Linked DNA regions of Oryctolagus cuniculus. The protein of the gene in region 2 interacts with the protein of the main gene of each other region in a pairwise test. Links are inferred from orthologs where the notes say so. Each region holds a gene or a part of one and is shown on either strand. Other genes may lie near its edges. The genes, in order: LRIF1, GADD45G, ARPC5L, TSNAX and AFAP1L1.

The links.
Region 1: the proteins of GADD45G (region 2) and LRIF1 interact in binary tests that used the Homo sapiens proteins (3 or more experiments, as listed by UniProt). The link is inferred for Oryctolagus cuniculus from reciprocal best matches to the Homo sapiens genes GADD45G and LRIF1.
Region 3: the proteins of GADD45G (region 2) and ARPC5L interact in binary tests that used the Homo sapiens proteins (3 or more experiments, as listed by UniProt). The link is inferred for Oryctolagus cuniculus from reciprocal best matches to the Homo sapiens genes GADD45G and ARPC5L.
Region 4: the proteins of GADD45G (region 2) and TSNAX interact in binary tests that used the Homo sapiens proteins (3 or more experiments, as listed by UniProt). The two-hybrid records come from large-scale screens. The link is inferred for Oryctolagus cuniculus from reciprocal best matches to the Homo sapiens genes GADD45G and TSNAX.
Region 5: the proteins of GADD45G (region 2) and AFAP1L1 interact in binary tests that used the Homo sapiens proteins (3 or more experiments, as listed by UniProt). The two-hybrid records come from large-scale screens. The link is inferred for Oryctolagus cuniculus from reciprocal best matches to the Homo sapiens genes GADD45G and AFAP1L1.

Annotation. Positions count from the first base shown.
Region 1 is NC_091438.1:59,372,752-59,377,724, forward strand, and holds the start of LRIF1 (ligand-dependent nuclear receptor-interacting factor 1), read left to right. Parts: upstream 1-1,611; 5' UTR 1,612-2,010; coding exon 2,011-2,078; intron 2,079-4,973. UniProt on the Homo sapiens protein: Together with SMCHD1, involved in chromosome X inactivation in females by promoting the compaction of heterochromatin.
Region 2 is NC_091432.1:138,326,563-138,330,610, reverse strand, and holds GADD45G (growth arrest and DNA damage-inducible protein GADD45 gamma), read right to left. Parts: upstream 2,575-4,048; 5' UTR 2,457-2,574; coding exon 2,404-2,456; intron 2,087-2,403; coding exon 1,985-2,086; intron 1,871-1,984; coding exon 1,657-1,870; intron 1,568-1,656; coding exon 1,457-1,567; 3' UTR 984-1,456; downstream 1-983. UniProt on the Homo sapiens protein: Involved in the regulation of growth and apoptosis. Mediates activation of stress-responsive MTK1/MEKK4 MAPKKK.
Region 3 is NC_091432.1:228,724,573-228,728,252, forward strand, and holds the end of ARPC5L (actin-related protein 2/3 complex subunit 5-like protein), read left to right. Parts: intron 1-762; coding exon 763-835; intron 836-1,370; coding exon 1,371-1,547; intron 1,548-1,730; exon of another isoform or gene 1,731-1,825; intron 1,826-2,374; coding exon 2,375-2,437; 3' UTR 2,438-2,900; downstream 2,901-3,680. UniProt on the Homo sapiens protein: May function as component of the Arp2/3 complex which is involved in regulation of actin polymerization and together with an activating nucleation-promoting factor (NPF) mediates the formation of branched actin networks.
Region 4 is NC_091444.1:51,049,826-51,054,838, reverse strand, and holds the start of TSNAX (translin-associated protein X), read right to left. Parts: upstream 2,990-5,013; 5' UTR 2,815-2,989; coding exon 2,799-2,814; exon of another isoform or gene 2,353-2,798; coding exon 2,248-2,352; exon of another isoform or gene 1-2,247.
Region 5 is NC_091437.1:36,693,910-36,698,162, reverse strand, and holds part of AFAP1L1 (actin filament-associated protein 1-like 1), read right to left. Parts: intron 3,801-4,253; coding exon 3,707-3,800; intron 3,491-3,706; coding exon 3,341-3,490; intron 2,271-3,340; coding exon 2,059-2,270; intron 124-2,058; coding exon 1-123. UniProt on the Homo sapiens protein: May be involved in podosome and invadosome formation.

The DNA.
Region 1 (4,973 bases), on a different chromosome or scaffold from region 2:
TCTGTGGCAAAAATATCCTACACGGAGGATCTCTGTGGAAAGCAAGGGTCATGTACTCAAGAATGTACTCTTCTCTAAAGGGAGAACATCCACTTTGCTTATGCCCATGTCCAAATACCAATGGAGTCACAAAAGGCTTCCATAGCCTTGGTAGCCCATGGCAGGAACCTCGGGTGATCACTGACGTCATTAATGAGTGTTAATTATTCAAGGAACAACAGAAGTCACTGTGCACTTACACCCCATGTAGTACCTCCATCCTTAATGAGTTGTACTATGAGAATCAACTGCAAATTTTGTTCCCAAACTGTACTCATATGTCATGTGTGTGTGTGGGTGCAAACTGTTGAAATCTGTGCTTAACATGGAGTTGGTCCTCTGTATATAAAATCAAACTAAAAATAAGTGTTTCAGGCATGGAAAGCCAAGACAGTGTGGCAAAAAAAAAAAAAAAAATGTCTTACATGAAGGACCTCAGTGGGTGAGACTCTATTGGAAAGAAGTGGACATCACACTTTTCAATGAAGGAAGGAGAGAACTTCCACTCTGCTTATGGCTTTGTCTAAATACTGACAGAGTTTGTGGATTCAAAAGGCTTCCATAGCCTAGGCAGCTCAAGAGCATCAGGTGATCACTGCCGTCACACTTAAGAATGTTAATTGTTAACAACAGGAGTCACTGTGCACTAACTCCCCATGCATGACTCTATCCTCAAAGAGCTATATGATGTCTAAGTTCCCACAAAGGATGCTTCATTCTTGGGTACTTCTTTAAAGGTAATTAAGTTTCAAAAAAAAAAAAAGTGAAATTAACTTCAAGATGCAATGACTTTGAATAGCCCTTGTCTCCTCTGGTGAGGAACAGTATTTTTTTGTTTTCCCTGCAAAGTGTGGAACTCTTTGAATAGAGTTGATCTTCTGTGTATAAAGTTAATTGAAGATGGATTTTAGTGGAGAATGGGGCTGGGAATAGGAGAGGGAGGAAGAGAAGGAGTGGGCGTGTGGGTTGGGGGAATGGGTATGCTGGGAGGAAACACTATATTCCTAAAGTTCTATTTATGAAATGTACGGTTTGTATTCCTTAAATAAAAGGTTTCTTTGGATGGGGGAGACAAAAAGAGATACTTTTGAAAATGTTTTCCCTATACATAAAAACAAAGTAGCTAAAAAAGTTTACCTAGAGAACGAAACTTTTAGAGAATTCGGGAATTAAGTGTATGACACTAAGTTTTGACTGAGACAAGAATGTTGGGGTAGAAGCAAGGGTTAACAGACTTCGAAGCAAAGCTTCAAAAAGAGGAACAAGGGACATTCAGAGACTGGCGATAATGTATCACTATCAACAAGCATACGACGACTGCAAAACAGCCCGCTGCCGTTCCTTAAGGCTGTGGTGGAGCAGGAACATTACACCAGCGGCGAACACAACGGCAGAAAATTTACTACTGACCCCGGAAGCATTTTATTTCGCGTAGGTGTTTGAAGAACTTTCTTTCGCGATTCGTTCCTTGATCCGGAAGAAGAGAGCAATATCACTTGCGATTGGGTCGTCCTAGGAGGGCGGAGCTCCCGCGAGCCAGTCACGTTGGCGACCGGACGTGACGACAGCGGAAGGCTCTCTCCGCTCGAAGCTCGGTGGGCGGGGTCGGCAGAGCTAAGCGGGCGGCAGTCTTCTCCCCTGAGTCAGCCTTGCTGGGGGCGGCGCCATGAGGGGCACGCCTCTCGCGCCCGCTCCGGCTGGCTCGGGAGCGCTGTCAGCGGCTCGGGGGGGCGGAGCCTAGGGCAGACTCGCAGCGCCGAGCGCGCGCCGTCACCGCCGGGAGTCTTCCGGCTTCTGGGTGGATTCGCATCCTCTCAAGAGGCTGTGGTCGCCCTCCGTTTCTCGTGGAACCCTCTCTGCCAGGCAACTTCTTGAGCCCAACATTCTCGCTCTAGTTCTCGCCCTTCCGAGAACCTCGGCCCCACACGCCCCCATTTCCCTGGATGCGCTGCCCCCTCCCACCCCTCAAAAATGTCCAATAATCTCCGGAGGGTCGTGCTCAAACCCGCTGAGGAGAATTCAGGCAACGCCTCACATTGGTAAGTACCGCGTCCGAAACCGCCGCACGCCCGCCGCGTCTCCTAGCAGGACGTGAGGCGGCCTCCGTTTCCTGACGCTCCGCGGTGGCGAGAGGAGTCGGGCCCCCAGGGTGCGCCACCCCGGCGGGACGCCCGGCGTTAGAGTCCTCGGCGCGGGCGCCTCTCGGAAGCGCAAAACCTCCTCCGAGTCTGACGCAGTCGCAGGACTCCGGCGTCTCAAGTTTCATAGGCGGACCGAGTAGATCTCCACGGGAGCGGAAAACCAACATGGCCGGCCGACGCCGCCTTTTTTTTTTTTTTTTTTTTTTTCCTCCAAATGACCAAAACCTTCTGGAAGATTCTCGTGCGTAGGCAGAAAAACACGCAGGAATCGGCGCGACTTAGTACAAGCCTGGTGGCGCTGGACCTTCAAAGAAAGTAGCCACGTTTTTCTAGCGCTAGTGAGCAAAGACGTTAAGATTGAAGAGAAATGTTCTAGAAAAGGGGAAGTGAATATTTTAAAATTTCTAGTAGCCTTCTATCGAAGAGAGAAGAGTGGAAACATAAATTCTTGTGTGGAGGTAGCCCTGTCGAACAGCAGGTGTAATGAGAGTGCCAGCTCATTGGAAGGCTCCATAGAGGAACTTGTGTTTGACGGAAGGCGATCCCAGTATTACGTAGAAAGACAACTTTTCTTACAAATTTATAAAATCGGTTATCAGTACCTGGAGAATTTTTCCAACAGCTTGAATTAATCAAGATGAAGTAAAGTATTAGCGGAGGCAGAGTATTTTGTATTCTTAATGGTCAGTGGACGTTTTTATAGGTGTTGAGAGAACTGTTAATGGGTCTGCAGAAAGAAATGAATAGAACATGGAAATTCAAGATGCGAAACTTAGGAGATTTGTGTTTGAAGAAAATCAGGCTACTCAAGTTAACCCTAGTTTTGCCAGGTATTTGTGAGGGGAAAAAATTGCCAGTCTAAATAATAGCGCCTAAAGATATTTTTAAGGATTAAAAGAATGAATACGTATAAAGCACTTCGTGCGGAAAAAGGACTATTTCAGTGTTAGCTATTAATACTGTAAGTGCACAATTTTAGTTCCGTACGCATTTTAGCTCAGGAAGTAGATTTTCTTTAATTACCAATAGATAGAAAACCTGATTGCCTAAAGAAGTAATTGGCGATTCTTCAGAAGAATGCACGGTGTTATAAAAGGAAAGGATCACTAATAGCAGTGTGCTAAAACAATACTGAAGAACCCACAAGAGAGAACCATTGAATTGCAAATCGTGCAAAAAGCCAGCTTTTGTGTTCATGTTTTTGGTTTTTGTATGTTTTTTTTTTTTTTTTTTTATTGTGATGAAGTTTGGGGGAAGAGGCAGAGATAGTGCACTGCATAAAAACGAAGGGTAGAGTTTTGGGGGTCGTTTAATTTTTCCTTTTTTTAAAATATTGTGATGAAGTTTTGGGGGAAGAGGCAAAGATAGTGCGATGTATAAAAACGAAGGGTAGGATTTTTGGGGGGAGTTTAATTTTTCCTACCTTGTTTTACTCTGCGTATTTGATGACATGTAACAATGTGATTCACAGGTGATTAGTTTTAGGATTGTGTTCTTTCCCACTGTCATAAATAAGATGAGCTATAATGAAGGTATTTATGGGTACTTTAACTCTTACACAGTTGGTGGTGCGTTTGGTTATTTTGGGATACTTTAAAAATGACTAATTGAATTATGTTTTGGTTACATTCATAGTCCCTTCAAGTTCATTAAGTCATTTATTCATGCATTGTTTTCATGATCTATAACTCATTGATTCATGCGTTGTAACTCATTGATTCTTGCGTTGTTGGTTATCTTTAAGGGCATTTATTTCTTTAAATCACTGAAGTTTTACTTCATGTATTTGGAATATTTACCAGATACCTTTCTGAAGCTGCTTCACGTTTTCGTTATTGGGTGCATCTTTGGGTCTGATCAGTTTTGTAAATAACAACCTGTATGACCTCCTAATATAGTTTTGTAAATAGTGTGATTAAGGGCATCTCTTTTATTTTATTGAAAACTTTTTTTCTTATTTTGCTTAATACTTTTGATGGTACTAAATGATTTACTTTCTTTATAACTGAAAGTGACTAATATATAGAATGTTTATTATTTGAAGTATCAGATTCATCAGCATAAAATCTAATCCTCAAAAAAATGAAAAATCTGGAAGATAATTGTGGTAGTATGCATTTGGTTTATTTAGAATTACATTGAGTGCTTTCTGTGTACATGATAGACTGCTATATAGGGAGATTGAAGAGTGGGATATGGGATATTCCCATGACAGACTTTATGATAGTGGGTTAGGGGTTAAGCTGCTACTTGTGATGCCGGCATCCCATATCGGAGTGCAGTTTGAGTCCCAGCTGCTCTGCTTCCAGAACAGCTTCCTACTAACGTGCTTGGGAAAGCAGCAGAAGATGGCCCAAGTACTTGGGACCCTGCAAGTTGTGTGGGAGACCATGATGAAATTTCTGGTTGCTGACTTTGGCTTGGCCCAGACCTGGCTGTTGAGGCCATTTGGGAGTGAACCAGCGGATTAAAGATCTCTGTCTCTTTCTCTTTCTTGCTGTGCCTTTCAAATAAATCAATCGATCTTTTTTAAAATTAGGTCAAGCCTTACAATGAGGAGTGATGTTTTATTTATGAAAACATTGTGCCACAAGGTGCTGTGAGGGCATGTAAGAAGGGAGTTGCAGGAAAGGTCTCAGGAACAGCTGTTGGGAAACAAGTTATCCGGTTAAAGGTGACTGTAGGATATATCCAAGCAGAGGGGATTAGTAAATAAAGCACAAGTATAGTTTATTAATAATTGGTATTTATTGCTTGAATCTGTAGTACAAGCAGTATAAGTAGATGGCTTTT
Region 2 (4,048 bases):
CACCACCACCAGCAGCCACCTCAAGGATAGCTAAGGTGATCCCTCAGCCCCGCGGCCACCTTAGAAACAGCACGATGTTCTCAGGTCGGGCTGCCTGGCAACCTAGCTAAGACCATGCACGCCCCACGTGCACCTCTCCTGCAGAAGGCAAATTGCAGGGCACGGGGAGTACAATCAAGACGCAGCTGCTCTAATAAAAGCAGACCAACAGACTCAGAACGTTCTCTTCTAGCTACCTGCCTCCAAAACCCTCAAGGCTCATTCTATCCGCAATCCTCCCAGATCCTCCCAGCGCTGATGTGGGCTGAGAACTTTCCAAATAGCCGACAGCTGATGCAGTCGGCAGATCGGAATTGCTCACCCCTATTTATACACACACACACACACACACACACACACACACACACGCCGCCTTCCGATTTCTGCTGGGATCCTGGAAGTTCTAGCCCAGCCGTGATGGGAGACTGACTCATCCTTCAGCACTCACCAGTGTCACGGTTGATATTAATACCTTTGTAACACTGCTTTGTGTCCCAGCATTTCATAGGAGAAACATCCTGCCTGCCATCGCGCTCTGGGACCACAAAGGGCTGGGGCTGTAGCAGGCAATGCCATTGTGCACGAAGGGGCTGCCTGCCTCCTGCAAGCTGTTCAGATAAGCAGCTGTCCGGGGTGGGGGAGGGGAGGGAGGTGGAGGTCACTGTTATCCGATAGGATGGCGAGCCCTGAGCTGCTGCAGGGATGCCTGTTCTCAAGTCTGCCCCTCGCTTGCAAGTTCTATAATCTGTCCAAAAGCAGAGACCTGGGAGCCTCGCTCAGGCTGTGCCCTCACACCCAGCAGCCTCCCCTCCCCCCGCGGCCAGCACCAGGAGCCTGTCATTCTCGCCCGACAGGAAGACGGGAACAGGTGCCATCCGCGCCAAGCAGTTCCAGCTGGCCACCTCCCCGAGCAAGGGTCCCCACCCTCAGTAAAAGCACAGGAGTCTGTTTCAAGGGGTTTATTGTAAGACATCCTCCGGAAGACGAAGCATTGCCCGGATCCGTTTCTGAGAAGGCAGCGCAGTCTGCTAAGTCCCACAGGCTCCTGCAGCCCGACCAAGTCCAGGCCGTCTCGCCCGCGCTCTCCTCCTGCTGAGTCACGCTGGCCCGGCCGGTCTGTGTCCTTCCCGGCCCTGCGGCCAACGTCCCCGCCTCGGCCTTCCTGGGCGAGCAGCCGCTCCGGACACTCGCGGTGCGCAGCGTCCTCGGCTCCAGCCAGCCTGCCCCGCCGCCGCCGCCGCCACAGCCGCCGCCGGGCCCCCGCTGGGGGGGCCGCGCCTCCGCGCCCGCCAGACGCCCCGCCTGCCAGTCTCCACGCCGTGCTCTGGCACCCTCCGAGGGCCCCTCCACAGCCAGCCGCGCGCTAGGCGCCCCGGGACGTCACCACGTCGATCAGACCAAGGTCCCCGCCGGGCTGTCACTCGGGGAGGGTTATGCTGGGCACCCAGTCGTTGACGCTGCGGCTCTCCTCGCAGAACAGGCTGAGTTTCTCCAAGGCAGGGTCTTTCCACGCGTCCTCATTGGGGTTCTAAGGAGAGGGGAGAGCGCAAGCGTCAGCCAGCCTGGCCGACCGCGCCGGGGTGAGGGGAGGCGCTGGGGGAGCGGGGCGACACTCACCGAGATGAGAATGCAGTGCAGGTCGCCCGGCGCGCCCGCCTCCTCGCCGGCACCCACGATCGCGGCCAGCCGCTGCACGTCGCCCACGCGCACGATATCGATGGCGTTCTCGCAGCAGAACGCCTGGATCAGCGTGAAGTGGATCTGCAGCGCGATGTCGCCCTCGTCCTCCTCGTCGGCGGCCAGCACGCAGAAGGTCACATTGTCGGGGTCCCTGCGCAGGAGGAGTTCCCGAGGTCAGAGCCCCGCGGGCCGGTGGCTCCCCGCCGCCGCCGCCGCCTCCGCCGCCGCCGCCGGTCGCCCCCGCCCGGGCCGCGTCTATACTCACACGTTCAGGACTTTGGCGGACTCGTAGACGCCGGCGGTGAGACAGCCCTGGCGCTGCGCCGACAGCAGCAGCTCGTGCAGCGCTTTCCCGGCGCCCTGCATCCTGCGGACGAGCCAGCACCGTCAGTGGAGCCAGCCGAGGCGCCGCAATCCGTACCCCGTCTCCTCCCCGGTCCCGAGTGTGCACCCCCGGCTCCCCAGCCTGAACCAAGGCGCCCACACCCCAAGGCCCCTGCTCCGGCAAGCTTCCTGCACCCCAGCTTCCCGATCCTCCTGAAGCTCTCCAATCCGGAGCCTACATCCCCCGGAGGCTCGCCACCCGGCAAGGCGCCTGCCACCCACCCCTGCGCCCCGGGCCCATCGGCACCGACGGTGCTCGGCTCCCAGCCCAGCAGACAAGTCGCGCACGGGGAGACCCACCTGGCTGTGCTTTCCGGAACCGTGTCCTGGCCGCGGACTTCTTCCAGAGTCATGGTGCGGTGGCCGAGCAGCAAGTTATCCAAGAGCCGTACGCGCGTAGGACTGGCAGCTGAGCCGCGCACCCGCTCCCGCCCGCCCGGCGCGCCCACAGCCAGCGACTGCGCCCGGGCGGCGCGGCGAGCCCTTATATAGGCCGGCGGGCGCGGCGCCGCCAGCTGGCGCGAAGCTGCGTGCCCATTGGCCGGCTCCCGCTTTCTGATGCAAATGAGCGGCGGGCCGGCGGCTCGTGCCAGAAGGCCACGTGGGGAGGGGTGCGGGGGATGACAATGCCTCAAATCTGCCGCTTTTGTCGGAGTGTTACCAGGCAGACTGGAGCCTGCAGATTTCATCTCGCCTCCTTTTTTTTTTAAGTCCTTAAAAGGAAAAAGTTAAAAAAAAAAAAAGTGCTAACGCGAATACGATGCTGCAATTTGTGAAATGCACCTTTGAAGATTCTAAAAGAATTTTCTTTGCATTTATTCTTATTGCTACCTATTTTTTTCTTTTATTTTGAAGTTTGTGAGGCTGTTGTATTGACCCTGGAAATTAAAGCAAAAACACGCAGCGCCACTTTTGGGGGGGAGGGGGGTTGCAAAAGGCACAGGCTCCCGCCGCTGACTCTGCAGCCCGCAGCGCGGCCGGCCACGCCGGCCAAGCCTGCTCCAGGACCTTCGGGGTCGCACCCGCAGGCCGCCTCCCCGCCCGTGGCCCTGCGCGGCGGGGCGCCGGCGGGGGCGCGAGCAGCTTGCGGCCGGCGCACGCGGCTCCTTTGCATTTCTATGGAAGGCGCACAATAGCAGGGGTCTGGCGTGTGGCGGTTTGTAGAGGGGACAATCGGGGCTTTCTCTTCATAGCAGCACTGTCCACCTGCCGCAGCCCGTGGCGCGCCCCCTGCGCCGGCCCCTGGGCGTAATCCCACCCCGCCGGCGCCTGGGCCGCGTGCCGAGCCCCTCGCGCGAGCTGGAAAGGCCGCGGGGCTGCTGCACGCAGACCTCGCGGCTCTGGCTCGGGTTTGGGGAGCGCGGCTTGGGAATTCCCCCTCCCGGGGCGCCACCTACAGGACACACAGAACCGCGGGCCACACACGCACCCGCCCCTGACCGCGGCCAAGCTGCGCCGCAGTGGAGACAGAACAAAGCGTGCCGCACGCACCCGGGTGGGGCTTGGAGACTGGGGGCGAAGGGGGCCTCCTGGGGAGAACTGACTGAGTTCAGAGCCCGTGTGGCTCTGGCTGGGTTGAAACAGCCGGGAGGACTTGACCGTGCGTCTGTAACAAGCCTGGGTTCCAACGAGGGGATAGGGAGACCGGAAGTGCTCTTGGGAGAGCGTTGCAGGCTGCAGCTTGCAGCTATGGGCCCTATGGGACTCGCAGGTCTGCGGCTGGCGGTGCTGCGCGCCCCGGGACGCACACCCGGGCTCCTCCTTTCCGGCCGGGGCGCTGGGCGGGGTCCCTGGGGAAAACAGCCTGGTGGCTCCGTGCTTTGCCTTCGGGCTCTTTTTCAGGCCGGCGGTACTGCGGGCTCCCGGACTTAGGAACGCCGAGCCTTGCTGCCGGCGCCCTGGAGCCGGGCACGCTTGGCAGCCTAGGGCCGGGCGAGGCGCTGGC
Region 3 (3,680 bases), about 90 Mb from region 2:
CTGGTTAGGCTGGGGGGGGACTGCAGAGCTGAAGTGCAGGGGCTGGGTCGCCGCCCAGTCTGAAGGCAGCGGGGCGCAGGAGGCCCAGCCCTGTCTGGGGGCTCCGTTCTCAGGGGGCCTCGCCGCACGGCGCAGCAGACACCTGGTCGGGCCTGGTGCTATTTCTGAAGCTTGTGGCTGAAGCCAGTGTTTCACATGATGTAACTCGGTTTAAAATAGGTGTCGCCTTTGGGGACTTAACCCAGATTGTCATTTTCTTTTGCATGCTGGGTATTGGCAAAGAATGTGGTATCAGGATTGCCACTGAGGTTTGGGCGGGGCAGAGTGGCTCCTCTGTGGGCCGAGGGTTCTCACAGACTGGCAGTCGGACCTCTCTGGCCACGGTAGCTCCTGGAAGAGAGAAGCGTTAGTGTCTCTTCATTCCTTTAGTAGTGGAATTGATACAAAGCATCCGTGAAGAATTAGGAGACTTCCGGTTGTGCCTTCCTGCTTCCCTTTGTAGAGAGATGAGAGAGGCCTGTGAGTGCCCGGTGGGGGCAGGTGGGGCGCTGGGCGGGGCCCCTGGGACCTCACTGCAGTTGGCCCTTAGGGGCAGCTGCTTTGTGGGGAGGCAGAGAGGCGCTGCCTGGGGCTCAGGCAGCTCCAGGCTGTGAAGCAGCTGGGCCTCGGGATCCTCGTGAAGCGCCCCGGAGCGGTTCGGATTGGGCCCACGGTGCGCGCGGACACGCTTGGCCTGGCTGACCTTAACGGATGCTGGTGCACAGGGGACATGCTTCGGGCGTTCCACGCCGCCTTGCGGAACTCTCCGGTCAACACCAAGAACCAGGCTGTGAAGGTAAAGGGGCGGGGCAGGGCCCCGTCAGTGTGTGCAGCTCCCGAGGGCCTCCCTCCGGGGACTTGGCCCTGTTCTGCTTCTGTGGGCTCTGAATGCACAGGGAATTTACGGCTTCTCAGAGTCCTGTTCACACGGCCTGGAAAGAGGACAGATTACACTGCTGGCTGCGGCCTCCTCGATGCCGGGACGTGGGTCTTGACGGGGGCCGCAGCGAGTCAGCCTGTGTTCTCGAAGGGGCACCTCCTCCTCCACCGTCCGATCCTGTGGGGCCTCGCGCCTTGCTGGCGCCTGCCCAGGAAAGCACCTCCTCCATGGGAAGTGGAGGAACTCAGTTACTCGGTCATCGACAGGCAGTACTGCGTACTCTGAGCCAGTGGGAGAATCTTAGCCCACTTTTTTTAAAAAGCTGTCTGATCCTAGATCGAGTTAGAAACTGGGCAGTGCTTCTGGCGAGCTCCTCCCACTTGTGCCTACAGTGGGGCAAGGATGGGCCCGGCTGTGGCTCTGGGCCTCACGCGCGCTCTTTCCTCTGCAGGAGCGAGCCCAGGGCGTGGTGCTGAAGGTGCTCACTAACTTCAAAAGCAGCGAAATTGAGCAGGCGGTGCAGTCTCTGGACAGAAACGGCATCGACTTGTTAATGAAGTACATTTATAAAGGGTTTGAGAAGCCCACGGAAAACAGCAGTGCAGTGCTGCTTCAGTGGCATGAAAAGGTACGTGGACATGCCGGCCCCGTGCCCAGCCCCTGCCTCACCCCGGGCTTCAGCAGGCGCCCTGCGAGAGCCGGGGCCAAGCCTCCACTTGGGACCCTTGGTCCCCTCCCCCTCCCAGGGAAGCACCTGGTCGGGCTCTGCTGTCTCTGGTACACTCACTTTATAGCTGCTGCTTTGTGCCAGGCAGGACAGGGGGCCCTTGCTGTGTGCCATGGGTGCAGGTGACCAGGCGTGGTGTGGAGTGGCAGGGATGCTTCCTGGCTGGCTGGCGCGTCATGGTACTTTCTTTGCATTGGTGGAGTCAACTGCTGGGTGAGTGGGGTGGTCCTAGGATGAAGGCTGAGCCTCCTCGCCAGCTTGGAGGGCTTCTGGCCCCGGCCTCAGCAGGCCAGAGCGTGCAGTGGGCAGCAAACACGACAGTCATTTACCATGGCCTCGTCCGCCTGCCGCTCTTCACCTGGGTGCCTTCCGTCAGGCCTGCGTGCCCACTGCCCTGCCCCGCATGCCCCCTTGACAGGGGTCAGGCGCTGGGGGCGGGGCGAGCAGTCCCCCTGCGCGGTGTGGAGGCCACTCCAGTGGGCCGGTGTGCGTTCCTGTGCCTCGGGCAGCGCTGGCAGCCTGGAAGCGAGGGACTTGCTGAGAGAGGAACTGTGGCTCTGCCGGGCGTGCACGGTGCCTGGGCCCGGGCCACTCCTGCTGCCGGAGGCGGTGGTCACGTCGCAGGAGTCCTTTCTCCGAGGGTCGGCACATGCGGTCAGGCTGGGGGGCGTGGGCCCGTCGTGGCCAGCCAGGTCTCACCTGACACATTTCCTTTTCCTGCTCCGCAGGCCTTAGCAGTAGGAGGACTAGGCTCCATTATTAGAGTTCTTACAGCAAGAAAGACTGTTTAAAAGTCAAAGGACTTGTTACCTCGAGAACTTTGGATGCCCAGGCCGGTGCAGAAGGGACTGACAATGGACCACCTTCCTAGGAGCGCCCGACTCGACTCTTCCAGGACTCGTGGCCGCTGAAGTGTATTTTATTTTCAAGGTGGAGGGAGAAATCGTCTGTTTCCCAAATCCTCTGCAGGACCTGATCGTCTCTTTTGCCTTCGTCTACACAGTACTGCAGAACGGGCACTGGGACCGGACAGAGAGGCTGGCCAGCACTGGTCAGGTGGAGCTGTGCGTGCTGCTGGCTGAGGCTGGGGGAGGGATGGTTTGGGCAGGTGCAGACCCAAGGGCTGTGGTGAAAGGGACAGCTTGTGGGAAAACCCGAGTTTGTACAGACCCCTGACCTCCCGGGAAGGTGGGCTCTCGGGTTCGTTGTAAAGTGCCTGCTGCATCAATAAAGCTCTTGGCTTCTTAGTATACACATCGCGGTGTCTTGTCTCTGAAAGGTAGGGTGGGATGGGATGGGAACGAGAGAGTTTGGCTGTTCCAGGAACTCTGGACGGGCTCGAGAGTGTCCCTGCTTGGCCGCTGCGAGCCTCGGCTGAGAGGTTTGCTCAGTAACTGTTGTTCCTCACTCCTTTGACCTGGGTGTCACTCTGGAGCTCACTTAAGCGAATGCAGAGCCAGGCATTTGATGATCAGTCAGGTCTTCAGTCTGTGACTACACTTGGTCTGCGCTGAGGGTGGGCCTGAACACCCCTGGTTCCCAGCTCCGGCTCTGCTGGGTGCAGCAGCAGCGTGAAGCATCAGCAGGTTTTCTTTTCTTTAAGTATTTATTTGAGAGGGAGAAAGAAGCTGAATGAGAGCTTCCATTTGCTGCTTCACTCCCAAGTCCTGCCGTGGGCCCAAGCTCAATGCAGGCCCCCACGGGGGTGGCCAGGACTCAACAACTGTTCAGCATCGCTTCCGCCTCCCAGGGTGTGCACAGCAGGAAGCCAGAACTGGTAGCGGAGCTGGGATTCAAACCCAGGCACTATGGGATCTACTGTGGGATGTGGGGTCCCAAGCTCCTGCCCGGACAAGGGTTCTTAAAAGAACTAAAAGCCGGGCACAGGGAACAGCCAGTGGGTGCGAAGGAGGTGATGTAACCACTCACAGCAAGCCCTCTTTTCCAGCTCACGGGAGAGCTCTGCGCTGTCAGAGGTAGGGACCCGAATGCCTCTGCAAGCTCCTCTGACCAAAGCACCCCACCCCTCCCCGC
Region 4 (5,013 bases), on a different chromosome or scaffold from region 2:
TATGAGGAGGCAAAAATGTATTCTACACAAATTTTTAAAAAGAGGATTTAATTAAGCTATTAACTAACTTAGTAGCTGACAAAGATGTCAACATATCTGGTTCTTCAACACCCAGGTAATAATTAGCCAGGATTTTGCCTTATAGTTAAAGATAATGAACATGAACCTGTTTCACTATTTATTATAAATACTTTAATGAGCAGAGTCAGATACTATGATTACAAAAGACAGAATTCCTTGTCGCCAAAAAGCTCATTCCAGTACAAGACACAGGGACATAAACAAATTAAATAAAATACAACCATAATTAATATGTGTAAAGGGTTTAGGAAAGAACCACACTCTTCTTGTTCTCCATTAACACAGGCTAGAACATAGCAGATACTTAAATATTTCATTACCAGGTGGATGTATATGAATGAATGTGAGTCTATCACCAAGGCTGCTTGGGAGAAAAATCAGAAAGGCTTCAAAGCTAATAACCTAAGTTAGATCTTGGGGGGAAAAAAAGAAGAATTCACTAGATGGGTAGTGGGGACATCAAATCAGAAGCAATTCCAGGCTAAAGGGATCAGAAACATAAGATAAATATGCATGAAAACAACCACCGTGTCAAGGAAGTGTGAAAGGCTGGGAATATCCAACCCACTAGTTTTTTCACTCAGTATGTGGCTCTGTCAATATGCTCTTGACTCAATTACAGCTAGCTGTAGCAAGCGCTGGGGGCCGGTGCTGTGGTGCAGTAGGTTAATCCTCTGCCTGCAGCACTGGCATCCCAAATGGGCACCCGTTCTAGTCCCGGCTGCTGCTCTTCCCATCCAGCTCCCTGCTAATGTGCCTAGGAAAGCAGTGGAAGATGTCCCAAGTGCTTGGGCCCCTGCACCCGCATGGGATACCAGGAAGAAGTTCCTGGCTTCAGATTGGCGCAGCTCCAGCTGTAGCAGCCATTTGGGGAGTGAACCAACAGAAGGAAGACCTTTCTCTGTCTCTCTCCCTCTCACTGTCTGTAACTCTACCTCTCAAATAAATAAATAAAATCTTTTTTAAAAAAAAAAAAAAGAGCTCTGAAGATTACTGTGGTTTTAAAATAGGCCTATAAATTATTTGGCACTCTACTTCAAAAGGTGGTACCCAATACTCTTCCCCTTAAAAATAAGGCATCAATTTTAAAATGCCTTTGCTGTAACAAATACATTAAGGCAAAAGTGAGAGCTAAAACTGCCTGAGATTAAGACATAAAGGGGGTTGGGGCAGCACTGTGGGCTAAGCCTCAGACTAGGGCACCAGCAAACCATATGGGCACTGGTTCAAGTCCCGCTGCTCCTCTTCCAATCCAGCTCTCTGCTATGGCCTGGGAAAGCAGTGGAAGATGGCCCAAGTCCTTGGGTCTCTGCACTCACGTGGGAGACCTGGAAGAAGCTCCTGGCTCTTGGCTTTGGATCAGCTTAGCTCTGGCCATTGTGGCTATTTGGGAGTGAACCAGCGGATGGAAGTCCTGTTTCTCTTTGTCTCTCCTCTCTATCTCAAATAAATAAATAAAATCTCTCTCTCTCAAAAAAAAAAAAAAAAAAAGGTAATGCATGGAACTTAGGAAAAAAAAGACAAAGGGATTGTGGTTTCCTCCTTGCTCTGTAAGATAGACATCATAGATGAAGCCACTGGGGCAGCACCATGGAGAGGCCCCCAGGGAAAGAGCAGTGAGGGGAGGTAAGAAGGCCGACAAGAGCTGTGGATCCTCCATCTCCAATCACAATTTCAGATGACTGCAAATGAAGTCAGAAGGAGCCAGATAAGCCCCTCCTAGATTCATGAACCACGAGACTGTAAGGCCTAGGTAAGTGGAGAGAGGACAGTGGAATGAGGATTTTTTGTTTTGCAATCAGCAGCAAACTGACAGCCAGTATGTTGAGAAAAGGGCAAGTGCACCTAAATGAGAAGATATGAGATCACGGCAACTTTCAAGTATGTGGCATTGCTACTATTAACTGACGTTCACCGTTACTGAGGTAATGTTCACATGTTTACTAACGTGGTTGTTTACACTAATGGGGCATAAATGCCGAGGCCTTTGAAATTCAGACTTTTCAGAACTGGCACTCTCACAAAACCTCTGGAAAAAATTAAATGTCACCTCTACACACCTTAAATTTTTAGGGGTTGTTTTCTCGTGCACAATATGGCAAGAATAATTTCTGTTACAGCCTTTAGTTCTCTCCCCATCACCAACTGACATTACAGAGAACTTACATTTGAAGGCCAACATCACAGGTGAAGAAGAGTTAACATCCTTCCCTTCTCTTCTCTGGTTATGTGGGAAATTGTCGTGCTTCCTTTTCCTGAACCCTCCTGATCCTTATGCAGAAAAGAAGAAAAAAAGTGGATAGGGATCTTCCATCACCAAGAGTCTGCGAAACAACACAGGCAACCCCCTTTCTTCCTTTAAAACCAGATACCCACAACGGCTTTTCTCAGCAGACTGACGCAAAACAGCCCGCCCCCCCCCCCCCCCAACCATCCAGGCTTTCACCACAGAGGGCCTAGATCTGGCACAGGTGCAGCAACCATCAAACAAGGCGAAAATTACTGCTCGAAGACTTAAGAAACCGAGAGGCGTACACACAGCGGCCAACCCGGCCAAGGACAGAAGCAGAAGAGCCGCTTTCCAATCCCCCCGCCCCCGGCTTCCCCGAGCGTGCTAGGAAGAGGACATCCTTCAACCGCGAGAGAAGGGTGAGCTCGCACAGGCTGGAGAACCACCCCTGGGGATACACTACACCCCGTTCTGCTGAGGACGCCACCTTCTTTGTTGCTCATGTCGTCACGGCCTACGATAAGACCAGCGAAGACTTGAAGGCCTTGGAGGAGCCGATTGCGCAAGGTGCGGGGCCCCGGCGGCCCACCCAGCCCAGGAAAGGAGCTTGCAGGGCCACCCTACGCAGCCAGACCGACGTCGACGCACCGGCCGGAAGCGCGCGCCCGTAACCTCCCGGGCCGCGCCCTTCGCCCCTCGCGTACTTCCGGTTTGCACGCTCGCCTTCGGCCCCGCCCCTCCTACGGTCCGGGGACCTCGCGTCCGCGAGATGTCGCACCTGCCTCATGCTGTGCCTGAAAGCAGAAGCGAGTCTACGCATCTCACGGACGCACACTCCGGGAGGTGAGATCTGTGTGCAGGTGGGCCAGCGGCGGAAAATGTTCGTGATTGTTTTCTCAAGGCACCTTCGAAACCCTCCCCAGCGCTGAGCGTGGGCCCAACTTGGCGCGCGGTGCACTGTGGGAGTTGTAGTTCGCTCGAGGGGGGCGGCCCTGCGGCACTGCCCGCGGTGCTGGTGAGGAAGGCGGCGGGGCGGCAGCTCGCCCGAGCCGGTACGGAGTTCTGTGGAGCGAGGCGGAACCTGCAGAGCTAGATACTAAACTCTCTGTTAAGTAGTGAAATATGCGGATGGATCAGTGGGTGTGTTGCTAGTGTTATCTCTGACGGGAGCAAAGCCCGCCTATCGGTCCTCCTTCCATCTTTTTCTTCCTCTCGTAGCTTCCTTAAATTTTTCGTGGCCCTCAGGCGCTAGACTGCTTGAGCTTAAAGTTGTCCTGGCCCCCGACTGGTTGTGTGACCTTGAGGAAGCCTTGGTTAGTCTCGGTTTCTTTATCTGTATCACAGGGGTGGGAGTTCACCTTAGGGCTCAGAAGGTGAGCTTGGATACTTCTCGCACCGTAGCTCTTTAAGAGAAGGGTTAGTAGTAAGAACAGATATGCACCACTGAGTTGTGAGCCTTTTATTATGGGCTTGTAGTACGATATCGTAACTAGGCCTCGTGACCCTCTAATCGTCCAGCGTGCTCATTCTTGGTACCGTGCCCTGACCGCTTGGAAGCCTCTTTCAATGTTTGTTGAACAATGATGTTCGCATCATCAAGATGGGCAACCAAGTGGCAGTTCATCACTTTTTAGTGATAAACTCAAGCCAAGGCTTAGTGAGTTGGGTGGCCTAGGCCCAGTAGGGAAGATACTGTAGGTATTATTATGCTTTCTTCAAATAGTCTCCAAATTGTAGGCCTGTATTGTATAAATTTCCTCTGTAGGGCTGAAGGGGCAGTAAACGAAATAACCTGGCTAGACTGGCAGTAGCTTGAAGGCCATGACAAGAGTGTCCTAGGAAGATTTTCTGCTCTAGGGGATCACTATAAAGAGTACTCAAACTCTAAAACAAGAGAGTAACCACCACCCATCTTTCCTTGACAACTCTGAATATATGAATTGATAAGCCAAATTCCTTGTGGATAAAGATGGTTCCTGGGGGCTTTGGGCCACTACCTGGTGACATTTTCATCCTCAAGGATTATAAATTTTCCAAGAGGTTCTGGTCCTATCCTATATTCAAATGACAGACCAAGTAAGGCAAAGATAGTTCCTGACATGATCAGTTTATTGGAAGGCATACAAAAGCAAATTAAGGAAAAATTAGGAATACATGAAAACAGTGAAAAATAGATTTTAAAAAAATTACTCAGAACACAGAGTGCTAGTAATAAATAACATGCCTCCATAGAAGAAATTTTCCAAATGAATGATTGGGAAGACACATCAAATTGATACTTAAGGATTGTGAACGCATCAAGCCATCAGCAGTGACGCAAAGGGCTTTTCATCCTAGCAGAGCCTCTGGCAGCTGATGCCCTTTCACAATGAATTCTCACCAGGAGTGGAATCACAGTGAGATGTGTCTCAAGTAGCAGTTTGAAGCTGTGTCTATTGCCCCAGAAGGTATATTAACTTCTGAATGTCAGCCTTGGAGGAGAGAAGTCCTGAACGTGAACTGTTTCATTTCCATAGCAGTACACAGTTGACAGTGAGGCTATCATTCAGCCAGAGTGAAGTAACAGGCCTCCTTGCTGTTGGCCAACAATTGTCAGCGTGGGTATCAGTCAGCCAGCCAGTGTGATATAACGTCCTCACTATCAGCCAGCCAGTGGCTCAGTTACAGCTTTTGGTACTAAAAATAAAGGCCCAAAATGGATT
Region 5 (4,253 bases), on a different chromosome or scaffold from region 2:
GACGATGCTGGTTAAGGTCTCTACATCCACGTAGTCATAGTGCAGTGCCTCAGGTGTGACTTTGGAGCCCATCTCTACCAGCAGCAGCCCCAGCCAGCGACCCATGTCCTCTGAACAGTTTGCCTGCAGAAGAAGCACAGGGGGAGTCCATTTTGGCACTGCCAGTGCATCTGGCTCCCTGCTTATTCCAGCCAAAGCCACAAATATTTCTAAGTATCTACTGCACATGCAATACTTACAGATCACAGAGGAATGAGATGAGAATACACACTCAGAAATCCAAGAGGCTGCCCTCTTCGCTCTAGGTATCTGCCATGTCTTCAGAGAGGCCTTCCTGGACTATCTCTCTAAGATAACATGACTTCACTCTGTAGCCCAGGTCCTCTGAACCACTTGTTTGTATTCAGATGTTACCTGAACTATGGCTTGACTATTTGTTCCCCCAAAACTTGGGAGTTTGGTCCCCAAACTCCTGTTTATGGTTCTAAGAGGATGGAAATGAAATGTAATTTTGCTGTTGGGAGCTAGGGCTTTGCAGAGTGACTGGGTTGGATTAAGTCATTGGGTGGAGTGTCCATGACTGAATCCTGGTGGTTTTATAAGAGATCACATAGATACAGACAGGTGCATGTTCCCTGTCTCTTACCATGTGATTCCCTGTACAGGAGTCTGCCAGCAGGAAAGCTACCACCAGTGATGGAGCCAGTGGGACCACCTGATTTTGAACTGCTAACCTCCAGAACTGTAAGCCAAAGAAAACCTTTTGTCTTTATAAATCAGTTGCCTCAGGAATTTCCTTATAGTAATAAAAACAAATACCCTGACTTTTTCTAAAAAAGTATTTTTATTAGACTATTTCTCATACAATGCCATTAATTTTCCTTTGTATTATAATTGACAATATTTATAGCATTGTATACAGCAAAGTGTCCAAAAACAACTCATACTTAATGTAAATTCTCATTTAGAGACTATTATTGTAAAGTTAATTTAACACTCAAATGCCAAAACTGAATAAAGGAGCTACATTTTTTTCTAGAAAGCTTGAAGTGTAAATTAAGAGAGAATAAGAGACTCAAACTAGCAAAAAATGGAAGCAAGTTCCAGAGGAAGCAATGGTTGGGTTGTGGGCAAAGGCAATGGGAGCAGGAGGCTGGGTTCAAGGTCTAGGAAGAGACAAAGCACTTGTCTGCCCTGGCCTGAGTTTCCCTATCTGTAATGTGAGAAGGTGGTTAAGTTGTTCTCCACTGTTGACTCTCAATAGCCAGAGGACTGCCATGTGGAAGAGACTTTGAATGCCTCCTGCATGATTTCGGAGAAGGTAGGAGGGATAATGAATGACAGACGTGAAGCCACATTTCATTCCCTCATTTGTTCTATAAGTGTTTGTTAAGAGCCTACATTATGTGTTTGTGCACATGATATCTGGCAGGGTTCTAGAAAAATGAAAGTATGCCAACCCCTTGAAAAAGTATGCATAATGATTGCTTTGATGGAGCTTTTAGACTTTAGCTCAGTATGGGGAAATCTTGCTACACAGTCTGAGTTGTTTGATGGGACAGGCATACTACCTTCAAGGGGAGTGGTTCAGCAGAGTGGTTCAGCAGAGGTGGCTGAACCCTGGGGGGATGTTCCTGGGGTCAGGTCCCAGTTAGATTAGACCAGGTGCCTTTCATTTTAAGATCAGGGGCATAAACAAGCTTTGATTTTAGGGCTGGCAGTTTGAGTTAATAACAAATGCAGAATGCTCTGTTAAGTTTGAATTTCAGGTCGACAATGAATAATCTTTGAGTTTAGGTATGTCCCAAATCTTGCATGGGTATATTTGTGTAAAAAACATCATTCATTGTATACTTGAAATTCAGACTGATTTGGGTGTCCTGGATGTTATCTGGCTACCCTGCCAGGTCACTCAACAGCCCCTAGGCTTGCCTTTCTTTCCCCCTAGTCCCTGCCGTGTTAATAGCAAGTATCCCCTCCAAAAAAAAAAAAAAAAAAAAAAAGAGAGACACCCAGGCCAGAGTCCATTACCAAGAGCGTCCTGGACCCTCCTCTCACCTCCAAGATGGCCACCTCCTGTCGGTTGCGCAGGATCCTGAAGGCAAAGGGGTGTCTGGGCCCAAAGCCTGGGGCCACCTCGCAGCCGCAGAGGGCGATGGCATTCACATGAGTGCGCAGGTCGTTGCGGTCCTTGTGGAAATACAGTGTGCCGTGCTGGAGGCGGCACCAGCGTTCCTTCCAGCCCTGGCTCACCAGCACGTTCAGGTAGCCTGGCAGGGGAGAGGGTGGTGTGATGCAGGCCAGGTGCATGGTTCACACATGGGAGAGAACACCAGGACATGCCCAGCCTGCAGCTGGAGAGAAGGCATCTGGGCCTTTCCGGTTGGTGATCTTGGGTATCTCGTGATGAGTGTCCACTAAGTAGCTGGGATATGGGCAGTGATATCCCTGTCCATATACACCTGCATGGTCTTGGGGCCACATGAAGGTCAGCGGCAAGGGCAGGAACTACCAACACATTGTCCTTCCTGCCTTTCCTCACCTTAAAATAAAACTGTCACTAAAAGCTGGACAATAATGGCAGATGGTGACACCTGGTGGCAGCGTGTGGGAACAGGAACATCTAGCTGAGGGAAACCATTAGAAGACAGAGCAAGGCATAAGCACAGTACAGCAGGTGATGAATTAGAATTTCTTCTTATTGTTTTAGGCTTTAATCTTTTTACACTGACATGCCATTATTCCCTGATGACAAAATTTTTATTTGAGGCTACAGGTTTTTATAATTTTTTTTCAGGGCCAGTAGAATATTACTGCCTATTTAAAACACTGGTATGACTTTCTACTGAATTCCAGTATATGGAATCCTTCATTTAATAAAATGTGTCCCACCTCCAAGCCACTTTTAACTCAAACTGAATGCACTTACCTACTTATATCCAGACATTTCTATCTAAGACTGGATGTAAATTGTAGGCCTGGCATGTTATCGGCTGGGAAATAAGGTAAAGGTCTGTACTTTCCTCTTATTACAGTGGGGGAAACTGAGACAGCGAAGTGCAGAGATAGACAGGGATTTGGGGTAAGGTCACAGGAGCACAGGAATATGGGCATCAGCTGGCTATTCCTTTTGCTGAGCATTGTGGGAGAGGTAATGGGGCCAGGATGGTGATTGACATGTTGATTGTTGACAAATTAGTGTTAAGCCATCCATTGGCCTGGGATTCTCTCTTCTGCCATGGGTGTGAGGTGGATGAGGCATGGCAGGGCTCCTGGCTTCAGCCTCAAGACCCCATGTCCACTAGGCCAGACCTCCCTCCTCCCCATGGCCCACACCCACCACAGCATGGAACCTCCTCGGCAGAGGGTGTTTGCGGGTCATCAGCCAGGGCCTTCTTCTTGGAGAAGCTGATGATGCGGGTGATCTTGCGGCCTGCAGCCCTGCTCATGGAGCCCTTCAGCTCCGCCAGGCTACTCTTCTTTCCTTTGCCTGTTGTACAGAGATGCATCAGGAAAGTGGGGAGCCCCAGATCCCACTTTCACCCAACCCTGGACTTCCCTGTTGCCCCCGTGGTGACTGGTCTGTGGCTCCAAGTATGCCAGGCTGGATCATCTTACCCAGGTCTCCAAACTGGTCAGCATCTGCTTTGCCATTGTGTCCCCTCCCAGCTCTGGTATCCCCCATCCTGAGCCCGTAGATTCCTACCATGTTCACATGCCTCCCGACGGCCAAGGGTGGAACAGTTGTCACCTGTGCTCAAGCTATCCGAGTCTGAGGTCTGCTTCTCTTGGGACAGCCTCTGGAGTAGGACACAGACAGCCTCATATTAGAGGACACACTGATGAAGACCCCTTTATTGGTTCAGTATCCCCCAACTCCCCCAGCACAAGATAATTAGCTAACAAGTAGTTGTCAGCTGCAATCATGTGCCAGAAACCATACCAGGTAGTGGGAAGACCACTGAGACTAGACATGGATGTGTCTTTTAGTTACTCTTGGTCTACATGGAAGCAAGGCAACTAATGGTAACACATTAGGATCAATGCTGTAGGAGTTTGGACTGTATTCAGCAGGAGACAGGGAGCTGGAATGGTATTTAAGTGGGATATAATGACATCCAGCTTGGTTTAGGAAGTTCCCTCCAGTGGCATTGTGGGGACAGACAAGATTGCGCAAGACTGGAAGCAGGGGCTGGTGCCGTGGCTCACTGGTTAATCCTCCGCAAGCAGTGCCGGTATCGCATATGGGCGCC